3 linked regions of the Zea mays genome follow. The main gene of each other region encodes a partner of the protein of the gene in region 2 in a complex. Links are inferred from orthologs where the notes say so. Each region holds a gene or a part of one and is shown on either strand. Other genes may lie near its edges.

Evidence for each region.
Region 1: Nuclear-pore anchor (region 2) and Aladin-like share a complex: the UniProt entries of both Arabidopsis thaliana proteins name them as parts of the nuclear pore complex. The link is inferred for Zea mays from reciprocal best matches to the Arabidopsis thaliana genes NUA and AT3G56900.
Region 3: Nuclear-pore anchor (region 2) and Zinc finger CCCH domain-containing protein 46 share a complex: the UniProt entries of both Arabidopsis thaliana proteins name them as parts of the nuclear pore complex. The link is inferred for Zea mays from reciprocal best matches to the Arabidopsis thaliana genes NUA and AT1G75340.

What each region holds. Positions count from the first base shown.
Region 1 is NC_050105.1:1,558,847-1,565,193, reverse strand, and holds the start of Aladin-like, read right to left. Parts: upstream 3,833-6,347; 5' UTR 3,711-3,832; coding exon 3,653-3,710; intron 3,537-3,652; coding exon 3,481-3,536; intron 3,377-3,480; coding exon 3,206-3,376; intron 2,521-3,205; coding exon 2,406-2,520; intron 2,296-2,405; coding exon 2,196-2,295; intron 2,088-2,195; coding exon 1,905-2,087; intron 1,447-1,904; coding exon 1,388-1,446; intron 1,296-1,387; coding exon 1,208-1,295; intron 1,131-1,207; coding exon 1,055-1,130; intron 811-1,054; coding exon 711-810; intron 609-710; coding exon 557-608; intron 120-556; coding exon 1-119. Other genes in the region: protein ROOT PRIMORDIUM DEFECTIVE 1-like, read left to right, coding at 4,988-6,217.
Region 2 is NC_050099.1:187,927,037-187,932,828, forward strand, and holds part of Nuclear-pore anchor, read left to right. Parts: intron 1-1,703; coding exon 1,704-1,796; intron 1,797-3,328; coding exon 3,329-3,484; intron 3,485-3,565; coding exon 3,566-3,619; intron 3,620-4,191; coding exon 4,192-4,305; intron 4,306-4,438; coding exon 4,439-4,516; intron 4,517-4,598; coding exon 4,599-4,748; intron 4,749-4,998; coding exon 4,999-5,070; intron 5,071-5,526; coding exon 5,527-5,673; intron 5,674-5,751; coding exon 5,752-5,792. UniProt on the Arabidopsis thaliana protein: Component of the nuclear pore complex. Acts as a docking site for activities required for desumoylation and mRNA export. Required for the proper expression or localization of a subset of miRNAs.
Region 3 is NC_050100.1:60,014,429-60,020,726, reverse strand, and holds the start of Zinc finger CCCH domain-containing protein 46, read right to left. Parts: upstream 3,833-6,298; 5' UTR 3,489-3,832; coding exon 3,445-3,488; intron 3,303-3,444; coding exon 3,074-3,302; intron 2,960-3,073; coding exon 2,877-2,959; intron 2,783-2,876; coding exon 2,684-2,782; intron 2,596-2,683; coding exon 2,502-2,595; intron 2,072-2,501; coding exon 1,848-2,071; intron 1,662-1,847; coding exon 1,549-1,661; intron 1,073-1,548; coding exon 865-1,072; intron 494-864; coding exon 430-493; intron 1-429. Other genes in the region: uncharacterized protein LOC100275809 isoform 2 precursor, read left to right, coding at 4,128-4,236, 4,351-4,483, 4,592-4,721; uncharacterized protein, read right to left, coding at 5,567-5,887.

The DNA.
Region 1 (6,347 bases), on a different chromosome or scaffold from region 2:
GTGGAGATCTCCGCACGTCATATATCGCGATCAGGCCACGGTACATTTCGTTTCCATCTCTGAACGACAGTGCCAGACGTTCCCCCGATGCGTCCCATGCTAATTTCTCTATGCCTCGGCTATACGAACCAGTCAAAGCATTCATTAATCATTATTGAGTGGAAGTAAGATTCTGTGCTATTATAATGGATGGATGGACTTCCAAAAAAAACAAAGCGCATTTCAGAATGAAAGAATGTGGTGCGCGACAGCAGACAGCGGAATCTGAAGACAGAATTCTAAGGAAATTAAATGATTTTATGCCTTTTAGGTTGTTTCATGTGAGTTTTCTTTCCTTACAACCCTACAAACCTATGGTCCTATGCTATGTAAATCAATAACAATCCTGAGCTAATTCCCTTCACAAAAGTTACGTCAGCAATAAGTTACCACGTTCATTGCGAATGGGGTTAGTTAAAAAAAGGGTCAACAGCCAAAATTAGCGTGCAAGAAGAGAAAACTATGTAGTATAAAATGCGCATGAGATCAGAAGCCACATTAATGCTTCTGTTGTTACCTAACAATCAGGGAGGAAATTTCTGGAAGTTCAACTGGTAGGAGGTGAGCATCTGAAAGATATAAAGAGCACAGAACAAACGATCAGAATTGAGACAAATAAGACAACAACAAAGCTTTAGCAACAGAGTATTTGATTGGTTGCTTTTATATACCTAAAGATGGTGGCTTCGATGAGAAGTGAATTGAACCAAGCGTCGTCGAGTTAGAAAAGGATAATAATGCAACTCGACCTTCTGGGTCCCAATTTGCTCCCTGACAGCAACCCAATAAAACTAAGCAAAATTGAGAAGAATTTCACAATTATATACTATATGTGGTTTACAGGGGCAGTGGGCACATTATTTGTGTTGCCAAATAGAGTATTGTACTCACTTCTTAACTAAGGACTGTTGTAAAATTGTGCTCCAGCAAAAGAACAACAACAGAATATTGCAATGCAAAAAAATGATGTCATATGTTCCAAAAGCAGGTATTTGTGACTGAAGATATCACTTACAGACACATATCCATTAGACGAAGACCAGGGTTCTGAAGTCCATGTGTTTGTCTCCCAGAAGTGAAAAGTACCATCACTAGCAATAAATGAAATTTAAATTTTTGGAAATATTATCGACAAGAAATGAAAACGAAAAGTGAAAATTGACCATACAATTTAGCAACTAGAAGGTAATCTCCACTGGGTGACCACCGCACTAATGATATATTGCTTAATCCACGCCGTATAGGAGTTCCCAACCCTGAAGCAAAAGGAATGTGTCAAGATTATAGCCAACAATTCTGTATAAATGGGATTGACTGCATGTATTGAGAAAAGGACTGGTATACATACCTTGAGACACATCCCAAATTGTGAAAGATGAACTATTACATGAGGCAGATGCCAAGTATGTGGAGAGCAGTCAAGGAAAAAAATGTCTTCAACCGTTGAAATTTCCCACAAATGACTAAACCTACTGTAAACATCTATGTATGCATGGTGCTGTAAATTTGGCAAAAATAGAATTTTTGAAGTTAGCCACACACTGTATTTTAGTTATTTTACAGTTTTAAAACAAGAGAAACGGTGAGTAGTCATGGCTAAAGACCTCCAAACTCTTTTCTATGGCCTCCTGCCTCGGTTAGTCGGTTATTAGGTTGTTTTTTCCTTTTGTTCCAATGGCATGCCTGCATTGTGCATAATGGGTTTGAGTGTTTGTGTTGTGTTGGGTAAGTGGTGTTGTATATTTGGGTTAGCTTTCTTTGCCGACGAAATGATACAGAGGTGTTTAGCGAGTTAAATAAATAAAAGGAGAGATGAAAAGCAGCAGCAAAATTCACAATGCCACTATGAAACTTATCAAGGATATCTTCCATCAGGTTTCCAACAAAGTGCACTAACGAGCTCAGCAGAAGAGCCACGAAGAACATCCACAAGTATCCACTGACCACCAGAACCTCTAGGGAAGGCACTAAAGGAAGAAGAAGTGACCCCAGATTTCATGAATGGGACATTGCCAGGATATGATGCCGACCAGAGGCATATCCCTCCTCTGAAAAGAAAATGCTGATTTCAATATAAAAGTAAAGTATGACAGCAAATTATTCAGAGACAACAAGGATTGATTCAAGTTAAATGGTGAGGTGGCAGTAGTACACACTTGCAGGCAACTGCAATCATCTTCCCACTATTTGGTCTCCACTCAACAGCCTTAACATCCGTTTGATGATCATTTGTTAAAATGCATGGTTCTTTAGCATCTGTTAAAGAGATTGGCCAATGTTATGTTTTGCAACTAACCTGATGGATAGAGTTCAGTTCATAAATAAACTAATAAAACATAGCAAAATAGGCACAAGGCCGATCTTACCTGAGTCCTCAAAGTCTTGGACAGTAACCTGGTTCTTCCCAGACACGAATGCTAAGCAATGCTTGTATGGATTCCAACTTACTTTCTGCGTGTCAAATTCTTCTAGCAGATTTGGCTGGTAAACAAGAATGATCGAATTTGAGTACGACTGTAATGGTTTCGTAAAAAATCACACAGGAAATGTACAAGCAGGAAGCAAATCTAGGGTGTTCATCCCAAGAACAATAGCTGGAGGATAGATTTTTTTTTGGGAAGTATGCTGGATGAATTAGTAACTGGAGTTCTGATACAACATCAACCTTCAAGTTATGTTGAGCTGTGCTTTTGCAATCTGAGTAACATTGTTACCTCCTGAATCATGAAATAAGTTATTTTACTATGTTAAAACAATTCAACATATATCAGATCATGAAAGCACACTGTGGCACTAGGGAAGTGAGAAGCAGACAATGCATTCGCCTTTGGGCACAGAGTTTTCGTTGCATGACCATGTATTTGTATGTAGATATAAGCACCAGCAACTGACAAAAGATATGATAAAATTCTGGAGTTCACTTATCTACACACAAGCGAGTGGTTTAAGTACGCGGGTATCTCTGGGGACAAATTTGAGGAACATCAAATTGTAGTAACTCAGAATCTCAGTTAGGAATATAGGACAATCCAATGTGAACAGCATTGTAGTAACTCAAATTTATTTGGCTTGCAAACCAGAATGGTCGAATGTGAGTATCATTGTAATGATTTACTAAAAAGTTTACATTGAGGATAAGTAATTCAGATAGGACGATCCAACTCACGTCTAGTGGAGGGAAGACCATCCGCCTGAAGAAGTCGGATATGGTGGCTGCCAAACCAGCGGTGGGCACAGTGTCAGCAGGCTCGACTTGGTCCGCGGCAGGAGCAGCAGGCTCGCGGCTGGCGAGAAGAAGAGCCTCCGGCTGGAACGGAATCGGGGCGAACACCATCCCCTGCAACACGACGGCCAACAAGCCCCAGATTTGAGCCCCTCGTCAGGCAGGCAAGCACAACGTGGTTCACAGATGAAGAGTGAGTTCGAGGGGAGCGGACTGACGAGGACATCCCCATATGCGTCCTTGGCGCGGTCGTCGGAGAGGGCATCCACCGCAACTGCGAGAGGCCAGGGGGAGGCGGATTGAATCAAACAAGCGAGCGGAAATGCTTACTACAGCTAGTTAAAATGAGTGTGTGGTTGTTGGGGGGCAGCGGATTTGCTGGGCGCTTACCGAGGTCGCGGTTGATCTCGCAGATGGTGACGGCGCCCGGCGGAGGGAAGCTCGGCATCGCAGCTAGCTAGCTTGATAGGGTTAGGAGATAGATTCGAGGTTCCCGGACCCAGCCCGAAATGGGGCGCTTGAGCTCGACCAGTACACGAGGCAGCCAGGGGAAGCGGCGGCGGAAGCAACCGAGCGGCGAACGGGGAGAGAACGGAGGCGCGAGCGCGACGGGCAGACCAGGGGCGGATGTGTTTTTCGCCTCTGCAGCCCATACAAAACCAGCCCATAAACAACCAGGCCTTGAAGGCCCAGCCCAAAGCACCTCGCACCTCGCCTCTCGATCCACCATTCTCCGTCCGCCGTCACCCACGCTTGCTGGCTCCGCCGACGCATCTCGCAAGCTGCCAGCGCCCCCCTCGCCCCTCTCCACTGTGGTCCGCAGCCGCTTGGAGCTTGCAGCTTGCCTGTTCGTCGTCTCGGTCCCAGCCGGCAGCCGGTCAACCCTCCAACCCCCTCTCTAGGCGGCTAGGCAGCAAGTCTCCCAGGCTGGCAGGCTCCCAGCCGGCAGCGGCAGGAGCCCGCACAATCTGCTCGGCCCCTGGCCCCTACCATGCTTGGCCGCCTGGGCACCTTGGTGCTAAACCTGCTGAGGCAGAGAGTAGAAAGGACATGACATCGCTCTACTAACTGGCCACCGGTAATCAATATTTCATCCCTTTTTATCTGGCAAATTTTTACTTTAATGATTAATTTAGTTGCATTGAGCGGGTGGTGGAAGGGTTTAAGTGTTAAATGTGACCTACGGTTGAATCACGATCTAATGGATCAGATGGTTTGCTTGCACGCTTGCACAGAAGGACTGCTTGCATAGCAGTCGTTGCCGCATTGCATACCTCAGAGCCTGGAGGCTAGAATGGAGAAAATATAAAAAAGATTCTTAGCATTGTACATGTTGCTTTGGTAGAATTGATATTGTTATTTGTGTTCTTCCTTGTACCTAGTATACATTTTGGTATGTCGCCAGTAAGATTTCTAGCCTTAATTATTTACCCCCTCCCCACACACCCCCACCCACCCCTACCCTGGATGATTTCCGCCACTGATCAGCAGCTTTCTTTTCTCCTCTTTATTCAGTGAACCTTATCAAGTCATGTAAATAGAACAATCCCACGTGCATTCATGCGAACCTGGTGCTTTCCATTCCATTGTCTACTAAACTGACTCCGCGTGCAATCTCCTTCCTTCTTGCAGTTGCAGCTCCAGCAAGTCGCCATTGCTCTAGAGATCCACATGTGGTTCTCGGTGCATTTTCGTATCTTTTAGAATTGAACTGTGAAAAACACAATGGCATCGATCTTATCTGGAGCAAGGAGCCTTCACTCACTCGCTCTGCTATCGCGGATGTTGGGCGAGACGACTCAGCTCGGTCCTTTTAACCGCAGCGTGCAGCGGAGGTGGAGAAAGCCTGTAGATTCGGCAAGAACACGTCTTGAGGGAAGAACGAGGGATCATAGGCTGGACAAACTAATGGTTCAGCTGAGGAACTTGAGGCTGGCCTTGGCTTTGCATGAGGTGATATCTCAGCAGAGGAACGGATACGCGTCTCTCCAGCTCCTCTCAAGGTGGAGGCATGAGGTCGGGCTGAACATTGAGGTCGGTGCTTTCCTCAAGAAATACCCCCACGTGTTTCAGACCTACGTGCACCCTGTCAAGAGGAACCACTGCTGCAAGGTCACGCAGAAGATGTCCGACTTGATCGCAGAGGAAGACGCTGTGGTCAGGGAGAATGAGGTCGGCGTAGTTCAGCGGCTGAAGAAACTTCTCATGCTCTCTGTGGATGGAACTCTGAACATGCACGCGTTATGGCTCATAAGAAGGGAGCTTGGGCTTCCTGATGATTACAGGTCCTCTATACTGCCGAACCATCGACATGATTTAATTCTCAAATCCCCAGATACTCTATCACTTTTCTCTAGGGATGAAACATTGGCTGTAGCTAAGGTCGACGAGTGGAGGAAAAGGGAGTACACAGAAAAATGGCTAGCTGAATCAGAGACAAAATATGCTTTCCCGATCAACTTCCCAACTGGATTTAAGGTTCAAAAAGGTTTCAGGGAGAAACTCAAGAACTGGCAGAGGCTTCCCTACACCAAACCTTATGAGAAGAATGATTCGCATCCGATATGCAACGTGGAGCGGCTTGAGAAACGCATTGTTGGTGTTCTTCATGAGCTTTTGAGCCTGACGGTCGAAAGGATGATGCCACTTGAGAGACTGTCACACTTCAGAAGATTGTACACCATGGAGGTAAACCTGCGAGAATTTTTTCTCAAGTATCCAGGCATTTTCTACATCTCGACGAAAGGAAGCACACAGACAGTCATCCTAAGGGATAGTTACAGTAAAGGATATCTGATTGAGCCTAACCCTGTGTACATTGTGCGGAGGAAGATGCTGGACCTGGTATTATCTGGATCTCGTAACGTTGGTGAATGCCAACAGGATAGTGCAACTTGGTCAGCTGAGGAGCATGATCTGGGAAGCAGCCATGGGTGCCAGGATAACATATGCTAGGTGGATTCTGCAATTCCATACTGGAACATGGAGTTAGAAGTGACGCATGGAAAGAACCAATTAACTCAACCATGATCTTGCTGTAATATCTACATATAAAAATACCTACTGATATCGTCTGCCCGGGGTG
Region 2 (5,792 bases):
AATATTTCGGATCAGTGCTACAGAGAGATGGAGATATTTTTTATGATGTTAGCCCTAGAATCAAAGCTGAGTGGAGGAAGTGATGCCAATCATCTAGTTTCCTATGCGACAAGAGGGTACCACGTAAGCTAAAAAGCAATTTTTATAGGATGATGATTATACCTGCTATGTTGTATGGTGGAGAATGTTGGCCTACAAAAAGACGTTATGTTCAACAGATAAGTATTGCGGGTTGCGTTGGTTTTGTGGCCATGCAAGAAGGGATCGAGTTTTTTTTTGGAACGACGCAAGAGAGCTGCATGTCATTTTATTAAGCAAGGGAAAACATGTGGGGGACGATGCCAACACCATACAGACACAGTCTCAGTCTTACAAACACAGGCGCGCCACACTCAGGAGGAAAAAAGACCTAAACACAACCAGGGGGACTGCTCAAGAACCCAGCCCCACCAACATCGCACACAGAAGGCTAAGCGCTGAATTACCAGCAAGACACCACAGGTTGTCTTCCTGCACAATTTTACGACAGACTAAAGCCCTCAAACACACACTCATTCCTGTGTTTCCAGACTTTCCAGGCTACCAAAATGATCGAGGAATTCATGCCCTTGACCTCCTTAGGAACTTGATTGATTACCCCAAACCACCAGCCTGAAAAACTCCTTCCACTGGGCTGCGGGATATGTGTAGGCAGCCCCAAGCAAGTGAATACCATGGCCCAAACTTCACGTGGGAAAACACAGGAGATAAGAAGATGCTGCATGGTCTCCTGCTCCTGGTCGCAAAGAGGACTGATAATAGAATGCGGGAGCCCACGTCTAGCCAAGCGATCCGCCGTCCAACATTTATTCTTTAACAGCAGCCAGATGAAGAATTTGCACCGGAGGGGTGGCCAGCTTTTCCAGATCCTTTTCCAAGGCCCAAATTTAATTGTCCCTAAGAAGAAAACCCGATAAGCAGATTCAGATTGATAAGAGTACTCAGATATTCTCAGATATTCGACCAAACGAATTGATCAAGAACTCCTGGTTGCAGAATAACAGCATCAACCAACTCCAAAATTCTCAGATATTCGACCAGAACTTGGACAGTAAGCCCCCCGCACGGATATCGGTAACCCATGTATGATTAGATATATACGTGGTAGGCTAGGGGTAACACCAATTGAAGAAAAACTTGTCCAATGCCGTTTGATCGAATGGAATATACCCAAAGATTTAGCCTTGAATTGGAGCGAATGGAAAACAACTATCCATGTGCCTGAACTTGATTTGTGGCTTGTGTTGGGTCTCAGCTCTAGCCTAACCTAACTTGCTTGGGACGAAAAGATTTCGCTTGTGTTGTTGTATGCCTGGCTTGGGTTCCCAGAATGCCACCTCTGTTTTCTTTGGTGGACTTTGAGTTTATCTATATTCTGTGGTTTTCTAATGCTATAATATACTTTTAATGCTGGGTATATCGTTAGCACATGTGTTATTTTTGTTAAATTTTGATTATATATGGTTCCTTATTTTGCGAGAAGTGAGCAAAGCAATCAGAAATAAAATCAAATTTGGCCTCTTCGTGCATTTTTTTTGAGAAAAAATGTATCGATTTCTTGATGTGCTACCGCCTACCGGTGTACATTATCAATGTTGCATTGAATTTTGTAGTTTCCATTGTTCTGTTTCTTACGTAACTAATTCATACTGCAATCATTTCAGGAATGTCTAAGATCTTCTGCTGAACAAGAAAAGATAGGCTTATTGAAAGAGAAGGACGATGCCCTGCAGAAGTATAATGAGCTTAATGATCAGGTTATTTAGCAATTTTTGTGTTGAATATCTAATACACTACCACAAAAAGTTTTTTTATTACATTTGATGTTTGTTATTCTTGTTTAAGTAATTTTCTGCCTGTTGTAACTGCATGCTGGACATTCACCTTTTGTTTTCTTTTCATAGCACATGCCTACTTCAAGTGTTAATTTGTAGTGGACATATTGTTACTGCTGGGGTGTAGACATATATTTGGAACAAGTAATTGTTGTCAGTTAGGGATGAAACTGGACAGGATAAATCCTGTACCCTCTACCTTTTTTGTCCCAACCATTTTCATATAACCGGGAAATTACAGTACATCTTAGATATAAAAAATAATATAACTCAATAGCTGTAACTTCAAGTGTGTTATTGTGTACTCTGTTTGGTTTTAATATTCTGGTTTATGTCTGTTTCTGCTGAATCCCCACTCGTATTTACCCGTTCCGTATTGCCGTCTATCTTGGTCCCGGCTTTTTGGGTCCTGCCGCTCCCGCTCCCGGCTTTTTTTGATCCCGCTTTCATCTGTTTTCATCCCTATTATGAGCGTAGCACAGTATGGTACTCCCTATGTTTTCTGGTCGAGCGACCAGCTGGTTGACCTAGGGTTCCGACCAGGTGACTAATCGTATATATGGTATATATAAAGTAAAGATTAAACATGACATGAATTTTGCAATACTGACTTAAGAGAAGATATTTGTTCATCCATCTAAAAATAGTTTCTCCCCAGTGACCCTAAAGTAATGCTGGTGTTCAAAACAGCAAAGAAACACTTACTACCACTCTAGAATTTTGGACATTTAGAAGAACAAGTAATGAACAGCGATTGAGAATTTCAGAGATCTAGAATTTTGGAAGGTTTTATTGAGGCTGCCGGCGGACGTTTCACCTCTCTGTAGCCGGCTGCTTGCCAGAAAAAAGCCCATAAAAATTTGAGGCGCGTCGAACCTTGGTTGGACATTATCTCCTGATGAACGAGCGACTAATCGTAGCTAGTCGGCAACTAGTCGGATGGCCAAGGCGATCAGGTGTCCAGTGTCCTAATCGGGTCGCCTGCCCTGATTGACCACCCAAAACCTACCAGCCCGACTAATCGCGATTAGTCGGATGATAATGAAAACACAGCTCCCTCCATTTAAAATTACATACATTTTGGCTTTTCTGTATTCATAGTGTTTGCTATATATGCACTTAGATATACACTATGTCTACTTGTCTAGATACATAGTAAAAGCATGTATCTAGAAAAGCCAAAATGTTTTATAATTTGGAATGTAGGGAGTATCATGCAAAAAGGCTTGAACTCTCCAGCTAGATAAATGTCTCATTTGTAGTAGTAAATAATTTGAAGATGAAATTGGTTAGTGACGGTTGTGGACGTATGTATTTTTATGGTCTACTTCAACTAGGCATATATTGGGAGTCTGTGCTTTCACTGCTTCTTAATGCTATTCTTTTCACAATTAATGATTCTGAGTTTGACTAGCATGCATTTTTTCATGATTTCTATTTTGTTATGAGTGCAGAATAGAATTCTACACAATCAGTTAGAAGCTTTACACATTCGGTTAGCCGAGAAAGAACGGAATATTGCTGGGCTTTCATCACATCGTACTGATAATTCACATGCAGAAGATGATCTACAAAGTGTCATCAGTTATCTGCGCAGATCGAAAGAAATAGTAAGCATTGGATTTGGAGGCTTTGTCTAGTATTCAGTTTGCACTAGATGTGGTTCTTATTCAGCCTATTGACTATTTCAGGCCGAAACAGAGATATCATTGCTTAAACAGGAGAAGTCTCGGCTTCAGATAGAAGTATGTTATGCTAGCACCTGGCAACCTGCCCTGCATTTGTCCTTATTCAAAATGCTTTTGAATTTAAAAATATAAGATTCCATGAGGACCATCTATTGCTGGTTAAAAAACTGCAGCACATTCTGCCAGATGCAATATGCCATGTTGACCATATAATTAAAAAGTTGTTCGATTTCTGTTTGATAAACTGTGCATTGGTTCAGTGTCGTAGGATCTATGATTTTTTTTTGCTGTGCGTCATGTTGCCTTCTAGTTGGTGTCAAAACACCAGCTCTACTGGCAATTGTTTGTTTAAATTGACGCCTCCCTAATAATAGCCAATTTGCTCTGGAAACGGTGTTATCTGCTATATGCGTACATGCTCTGAAATTGATGACCCTTTTTAATTCATCTGTCTTCAAGGAAAGGGGGTTTTTTATAGACTAAATTCGGAATGTTTGGTTGGGACTTTTGTGTTAGAAGTAGTATTTGATGGAGCATGTGAACCTCCATTGTAGTTTACTTTACAAACTTTTTTGGTTGAATGTATTGATGTCTCTAATTTCATATGTTTCTTTATAATGGTAATACAGCTGGAAAGTTCTTTAAAGTCTGCCAAGGAGGCACAGGACTTGTTGCGAAGTCAAGCTGATAGTGCCAGGGCATTGATGTTCAAGGATGAAGAGTTCAAGTCACTGCAGATTCAGGTGCAATTCAATTGTTGGGATTAGTTGATCACATAGCTATGTCGCATTGCTATGTTGCTTTGACCTGGTTATTGAGTGTATTTTAGCCTTATTACCTTATTTATTGTTTTTTATTTGAAATGACCGACCTCAGGTCAGAGAAATTAACTTGCTTCGTGAAAGCAACATACAACTTAGGGAGGAGAACAGGCACAATTTTGAAGAATGCCAGGTAATATATTAAATTGGTAATGTTTAATTGCTGGTTCATATCTGGATGTGCATAATTTTTTATTTTAATTTTGTGCGTTCAGAAATTCCGTGAAGAAGCTCAAAAGGCTAAAATGGAATCTGAGAGGTTGCAGAACCTTCTACTGGAGAAGGAGGTAGACGCTGAAATGTGCAAAAGAGAACTGGAAATGCAGAAGGCAGAAATAGCTAATCTCAACCAAAGTATTTCTGAGGTAAGTTTTAGTCCACTTTCTAACAGTAATGATAAAATGCCATGAAATTCCTTTGGCTTCATTAAGAACAGCAGCTGTGGTTTTTGTCCCAAGCAAGTTTTAGTCTGTTGGTTTGTAATATGCAGGTTATTGCCATAAAAAAATTGTAAACATTGTGAGAAAACAATATGTGCATAAAAATCTATATATTAATTCATTCTATTCTTCATATGTTGAGTTCTGCAGTTGTGTATTAATGTTTTCTTGGCAGCTGATTGAAAATAGCAAAGGCATTGATTTGAACACTTATGAAGCCATGAAGAATGAACTTCAAAATATCAAAGTTAGTCTTCTGTTTTCCTCTTCGTTTTTCTTTGTGATGATGCCATTTTGAATGTTTCTTGGTCAATGATGTATACATGATTGGATTTCTTTTTCTGCACAAAAGAGTTTGATGACTGTCATTTTTGTCTAGTTTGACTAAACATTTGATGAATCACTATAGTGTCTTGTTTCCCTATTTTGTACCAAATATTTTTGTACCACTTTATTTTCTTTGCTGTGAGTTTGTGACATAAACTGTATGAGCTTCTGCACTGTACTCTGTATTACGATTATTGTTATCTTTTGGATGGATGCTTGCTTTGGGTGAAAGTGATGGCGCAAGTCTCTAACTGTACATGAGTCATTAAGTGTCTAATTTCATTAGTTGTATGATATTGGATTTGCTTGACTTTTTTGGGTCATAGTTTAATCGTCTTACTATCACATACATTAACATAATTATCGTTTTCAACAGTCAACCTTGAGAGAGAATTCTATGGAGCTTGAAAGTGCAAAGATACTGCTTTCTGAGAAAGAAGTTGCCATAAAAATTTTGGAGGATAAGCTTTCATTATGTCAATCTGAATTGGATTCCAAGGAAAAGAAGCTGAATGATGTAGAGGTGATAATAGTTCCAACTTTCATGACTAATATATTAACTAATTCGCTGTAGTACTTATATTTTTTTGTCCTATTGTAGGCGTCCCTTAAATCTGAGATTGACAAGCATAAGAAGATTAA
Region 3 (6,298 bases), on a different chromosome or scaffold from region 2:
TATAATTGATTATGGGTTTCCGTTCTTAGTGGCATGGATTTATGTCCTAAAATAGTACATACGTCTCACAATAGTTCAAATTTAGAAAGGTATCAAACATGAAAAATGCACATCAAACAGGTGCTCAACAAGGAAAAGAAAAAAAAATACAGCTAGACAGGAAGGTACATGCAAAAGATTTTGGACACAGAAAACACCAAATAAGAAAATATTGCAGACGACACTGATTCAAAAACTAGAGGTAGTTGCATATCATACACGATCGTACATCACATGCAACAACATGTGGGTGATCCGTGACTGACAACTCAATGGCTGGTCATTAATAAAACAGGAACAAATATGTACTGTACAGGAATAATAATGTCTATAGGCAAACTAGTGTAGAAATAAAACTATCAACATGGACCACAAAAAAGTATTCCATACCTCTCCAATTGACCATTTTTCCTTCAACCAGATACTATCATCCTGATTTTCATTTTTATTGTCCCTGTTGAATAAACATAGGGGGAAAATAGATATAAGCAACAAGAAAAATCACAATGTCGCATAAAATATTGCAAAGGTTACTAATCAAATCGACACAAACAAGCATATATATACATGAACATTCAAGTCTGATTGGTTAGTTTTAGCTAGTCCTTTGTGAGGAAGAGCAGTACTTTCTCCATGGCATCTACACAAGTACTGCATATTCGCGAAGTCAAAAAATAATACCCATTCATCATAGTGTTGGTCTTTTTTTCCTCCACCTCCCATCCCCCCACCCCCTACCCCAACACACACATAGACATTTACTTAAGCTCCATATATTACGTACTCAATGTCAGCATACTCTACACATCTTATTGAAGGACTTACTCAACAGGAGCTTCATTTGTGGCACTTGTAGGAACCACAATTCCACTAAGTAAATCTTGTGACTGCCTATCAATGTCTCTGTGATGGCTAGAGGAGGAAGGGGACTGCTGGTAGCTGGCATGAGGCTTTGAGAAATTGCCAAAACTGGACATGTTTGAGCCTTGAAAAGTCCCAGATGATTGTTGTGATATCTGGCTTCCAAATGGACCTGTAAAATCCTATAAGTTGAAATGGCAGCCAAAAGCAATAGGCCGAATCACATATTTCCTAAATGGCTAAATTAAGAAAAAGAAAGACGACAAAGAAAAGAATATGCAGAACTATAAGTGTCTAGCATGTTTATTTAATTTAATTCTGATTCGATATTAGTGTCCAAAAGAGTTCCTGTTGAGTCCAACTACAATCCTAAAAAAGTTGTATATAAATTAAATGTATGCTCGTCCTAAGTGATATACAAGATTATCCCTAAATCTTTAGCATATATTAGAAACCTATCAAATGATTAGTTCTTTATAAACATATGCCAAAAACGAAGAGCCATGAATCAGAATGATTAAAAAACCAACTAGACATGGATAGACACATTCACGCAAACTATATTACGCACAATTGAATTGACTGAGTACCAAGTTCGTTGAATAAAGGGTAGCAGTGTAACTGCACGGATTAATCAATAATACATACCTGAAACTCCAAATTTCATATCAGAACGACCAAAAGTAGGTGCAGGAAATGTTGGATGGCTTGGTTGGGTAGATTGACCAAAAAGAGTATTGGTTGGGACTCCTGGTGTAGTTCTGCATGAGATAGCTCATTGAATTTAATATGGCACGTGCACACAAAAACTGACTGATCAAAATGGATAATAATGTCTGTAGATTATTTTGAAGACCACTAATTTCTGATGGAATCATCAGTTTATTCAAAAAAATAACAGTAAGGTTAATATTGCCCAACCTCCAAGATAATCAAGTGAACATTACCTGGACCCAGGTCCCATATTAGTTGTTACTCCAATTTGACTGAAACTACTAAACACTGGTGGTCCATTATTTTGAGAAACCCCAAATGCTGAGTTATTTTTCACTTCAGGGAAGGAAGCCACAGTTGGAAAGCTTGGAGTTTGTGATACCGATAGACGTGGCGTGTTCAGAAAATTATTAAAGTCCGTCAGCTTTGCATTTTTCAAATTTTTTTCACCCTCTACCTGAAGAAAGGAAACAAATGAATTAGATGTCATTCTTGATAAAATCCATCAAAGATCATTTCTATGATGACTAAACTATACAGTATATAAGAGAAACTAAAGTAAGTACTGTTGTGTTGCTACAAAAGGCGCAGCTCCAATTGAGTTCTGATAAATACAGGTCTTGTTGCTCAAGCAGGTACATTTTGCATGCCTCTACCATTAGAAAACCTAACAGGAATAAGGGACACAAAGGTACGATCACAAACATTTAATAATATCACATGTGGTTTTCATACAGTTTATTATATATCATTTTCCATGGCCCTTGTAGGAATGTTTTATCACATAATTCAATGTGGAAGATCACATACTTGATACTTCCAACTGGAAAAATCCAATCAAATCAAGACTCGATAACGGGAAGAAAGTTGGAAGCGCCAAAGCTTACTATTGACTGCAGAGGATGCCCTTGCCTGCCTTGCTCATACGCGTTAGCTCTCAGCTCTTCAAAGCTAATATCTCCCGTGATGTCACAAGGACCGCTAACACAAACAAAATACAAAAAGATGAGCACAATGCATTGAGGGAGGCAGATGCCACTAGTTGAAGCACGACGAGTTAGTTATTTACCTCCTGAGGTGAGCATAGCACGTAAGCTTCCAGAGTGGAGTTTCATTCTTAAAATCCTCGGCAATCTGTTGCCTGCAGGACTCAGGATCTGTACAGGAGCTGGCAAAAAAACTCACAAAGTTGGTGACTCACATATAGCAAGGAATAATCAAGCAGGATTCAAAAGTACAGCATCCCAGAATCGCAGACTCACGTGTGGGCTGCTGCTGGTGGCTGTGCCGCTTCCTGTTGCTTCGTTGGGGCTGAGGGGTCCCTTACCCATTTATTTTGAAATGGCTGATTCAACAAATCCATCAGTCAAATAAAGGAATGATCGTTACACAAGCTGAATTCCACAAGTGAGAAAGAACCATAAAAAAACAGATTATGTATCCATCAGACAACACAAACCTTTGCCTGGCCAGGAGCGTTTCTGGACTGTGCAGCCGCACTGCCTTGCACTCCAAATCCAAACGGGTTGGGCTTCTGCTGCTGCTGCTGCTGGAACTGCGCACGAAACGAAGACTGCTGCTGTTGCTGCTGCCTACTCCCTAAGCCGAACCCAAACGGGTTGGGCTTCGCCTGCTGCTGCTGCTGAGAGGAGGCGTGCACAAACCTGCAGTGCGATCCGTACTTGCAGCTGCACCATCCAGGACGTGAATGAAAACCACAGAAGGTACGGGCACCCAGAGCGAGCATAACGACTGAACTTAAATAAATGTGCACAGCCGGAGGCAATCGCATGCCGCGGCAACGGAGAGGGGGAGGAGAATACTCCGCACCTGCCGCGCTGGAAGTTCCTGCAGAGCTCCTGCCGCCGGTCCATCGCCGGGAACGGTGAGGAGGACCCGAGCCGTGCGCTGGAGCTCAAGTCCTAGGGTTTCGTCACCGCCTCCAACTGCAACTGCCTGCTCCCTCACGCGGAACTCGCGTCGACGCGACGCACGGCTCGCGACTTGTGAAACTGGAGCGTAAGGGAAGGGGAAGTACCCGGTGTTCTTTCCTCGCGGCGGCCGGCGTGGCGTGGGCGTGGCACGCGACGCGGGCGGACGCCGTCGGAGTCGGGGAGTCCTACGCAGCGTCGGAGTCGGGAGGATCCTCCCTGGGCCTCGTCCTGGGTGAGGTGCAAGCGCTGGGCTAGGTGCCGCAGGCCCGATAAAGATCCGGCCTAGCCCGGGAGCAGGTGGGCCCATCGTATCTTCCTTCCTCCAGTCGCAACTCGCGAGTCCACTGGTCACTTGTGTTAGCGCTGGTGATTCGGCAGCCAGCGAGGCTGATCCGGGACCGGGTGGCTGGCCGGTGGCCACACCAGAGGTCTATTATACCTGGATTCCGCGAGGCCACGGACCACGGTGCGCGCGCTCTTGTCTTGTTCCTGTGCCTGCCACTGCCAGTGCCACCATCTCGCCGTCGGCGTCGGCTCGTCGCCTGAGAGCCGAGGCCACGCAGGCACCCGGGCCGGGGGATGTCGGCGCCGGCGGCACAGGCCGTGGTGGCGCTGGCTCTCGCGGCCATCCTCTCGACCCCGGCGCCCCAGGCGGACACCTTCTCCAACGTCCCGCCCACGCTCTCCGGTGCGTGCAGACACGCACATTCGGCACATGCTTCGCAACCTTTTTCCCTTTTGTGCATGCGTATGTCGTAGTCGTAGCGTCAGCGTGGCTGACGGAGGAGGAGCTGGTGAGCAGGGGGCGACGGGAAGCAAGAGCGGATCAAGCACCCCAGGTCGGCCAAGGCGTTGCAGTGCACGACCAAGTGCGTCGGCACCTGCATCCGCGGCGGCGGCGGCGCGCCCGGCGAGGGGCCCCTCAACGTCAGGAGGTAAAATAATAAAGAAAAACACCAGCCACCGGACCTACACCGGCGGACGAGTACTGCCGGTGCGTTTGACTTGTTCATTCACGTTGGGTTGTTTTCTGGTGTGCGCAGGCCCCTCGTGGTGTTCAAGGACGGCTTCCGCAGCCGGCAGTACTGGTGGGTACTACTACTACCTGCACTACAGCCCCCTCTTCTTTTCACTATAGCAGATGCTACCACTGCTCGTGGGTCACCAAAGTGAGCTCAACTTTCTGATCTGATCAGTTTGTTGTTCAATTAGCCTGATAGAGTGCTCGGACATTTGCAATCGCATCAAGGATGGGCAGGACGGACCCTGAGACGGGCCAGAGGAACAACATGCCCAAGCCCAAAGTTGTTGGAGCAACTGCCATGGCTGCGGTGCAGGCTAGATATGGGATCCGGTTCTTCTGCCAGGCCTCCAGAAGCAGAACTTCAGAGGCGACAAGGGTAATAAGGTACAGTAAACCAGTCAGTAACATATAGGATCCAGAGACATTTGCTAGCAACAAAATCCGAGAAAAGCTGTTAAGAGTGATGCGTAGTGGTCTTGATAACCGTTAATGCGATGAACGTCAGGACCATGATGAACAGATACAATGCATAAATAGCACCATGATGAACTTAAGTTTTTATCTGGGAGTAGGAGTTATGTACAGTTTTTCTTTTAATGAAACTCGACAAGATGTCGAGACGGACGAACCGATTAAGGAATTCCAAAGATATGCATCTGACTTCCAATGACACGGGTCAATCCAGTGACTGCTATCTCAAATCTTGATACTCTCATGGTCGCTGGATATAAACTTACTTTTCCAGACATGATGGTAACTCGAGAGACAGCTCTTACACTGTTGAGCGGTCTATCAGGGCTTTGGACTTCATCACTTCTGTTGGCAGATGGCAGTTAGGCTGTCTGAAAGCATGTAATATATCAGCAGAGGGCAATCACATAAACCTTTTGTTGTGACTGAATTCATATATAACAGGAGATAAACACACTAAAGGCTAGTGCAGTTTACCATTCAGGTTGTCTAGGCAGGGAAGCATCTGAATCTCGGATAGCAGTTAATTTAACGATCCCGCATCTGGCAGGAAGAGGTAGCGAAACCGAGAATCAAATGGAACGACGCCGAAAGTACGGGTGCCCAGGAGACTTTGCCGCCGTTGAGACACGCAGTGATCGACAAACGTAGCTTGCTGCTGGGGTAGGAAATGCGAGATCCAGATTGGGAAGCTGTTGTCGTCGACAAAGCCACGGGCAAAGCAGTGCAGTATCTTAGGGGCCAGAAGCTTCCCTTTCCGACTCACTCCTACCGATGCTCTAATGAAATCACGCTGTGCGTCTTGAAGTTCTTCCCTCACGTTGTTAGCCGTGTAAATCTTCACCTACAGCGATAGTTAGTCATCTGTCAGCTATTAAGGCCCCGTTTCAATCTCACGGGATAAACTTTAGCTTCCTACTAAACTTTAGCTATATGAATTGAAGTGCTAAAGTTTAGTTTCAATTATCACCATTAGCTCTCCTGTTTAGATTACAAATGGCTAAAAGTAGCTAAAAAAAAGCTGCTAAAGTTTATCTCGCGAGATTGAAACAGGGCCTAAATGTTTGCGCTAGGGACAATCATGAAAGCTTTCAAGTAGTCAACTAGTTTGCCAAAAAAAATAGTGCTAATCTAAGTAATCTTGGCGAAGGGAGCCAAAGCAATGCTTTGAGCTTACCCCGGGAGAAGAATACATTCCACAGCTGAGAGCAAACGTCAGAAGTGGCTCAGGTGCCGCAATGCAGAACTTTTTCTG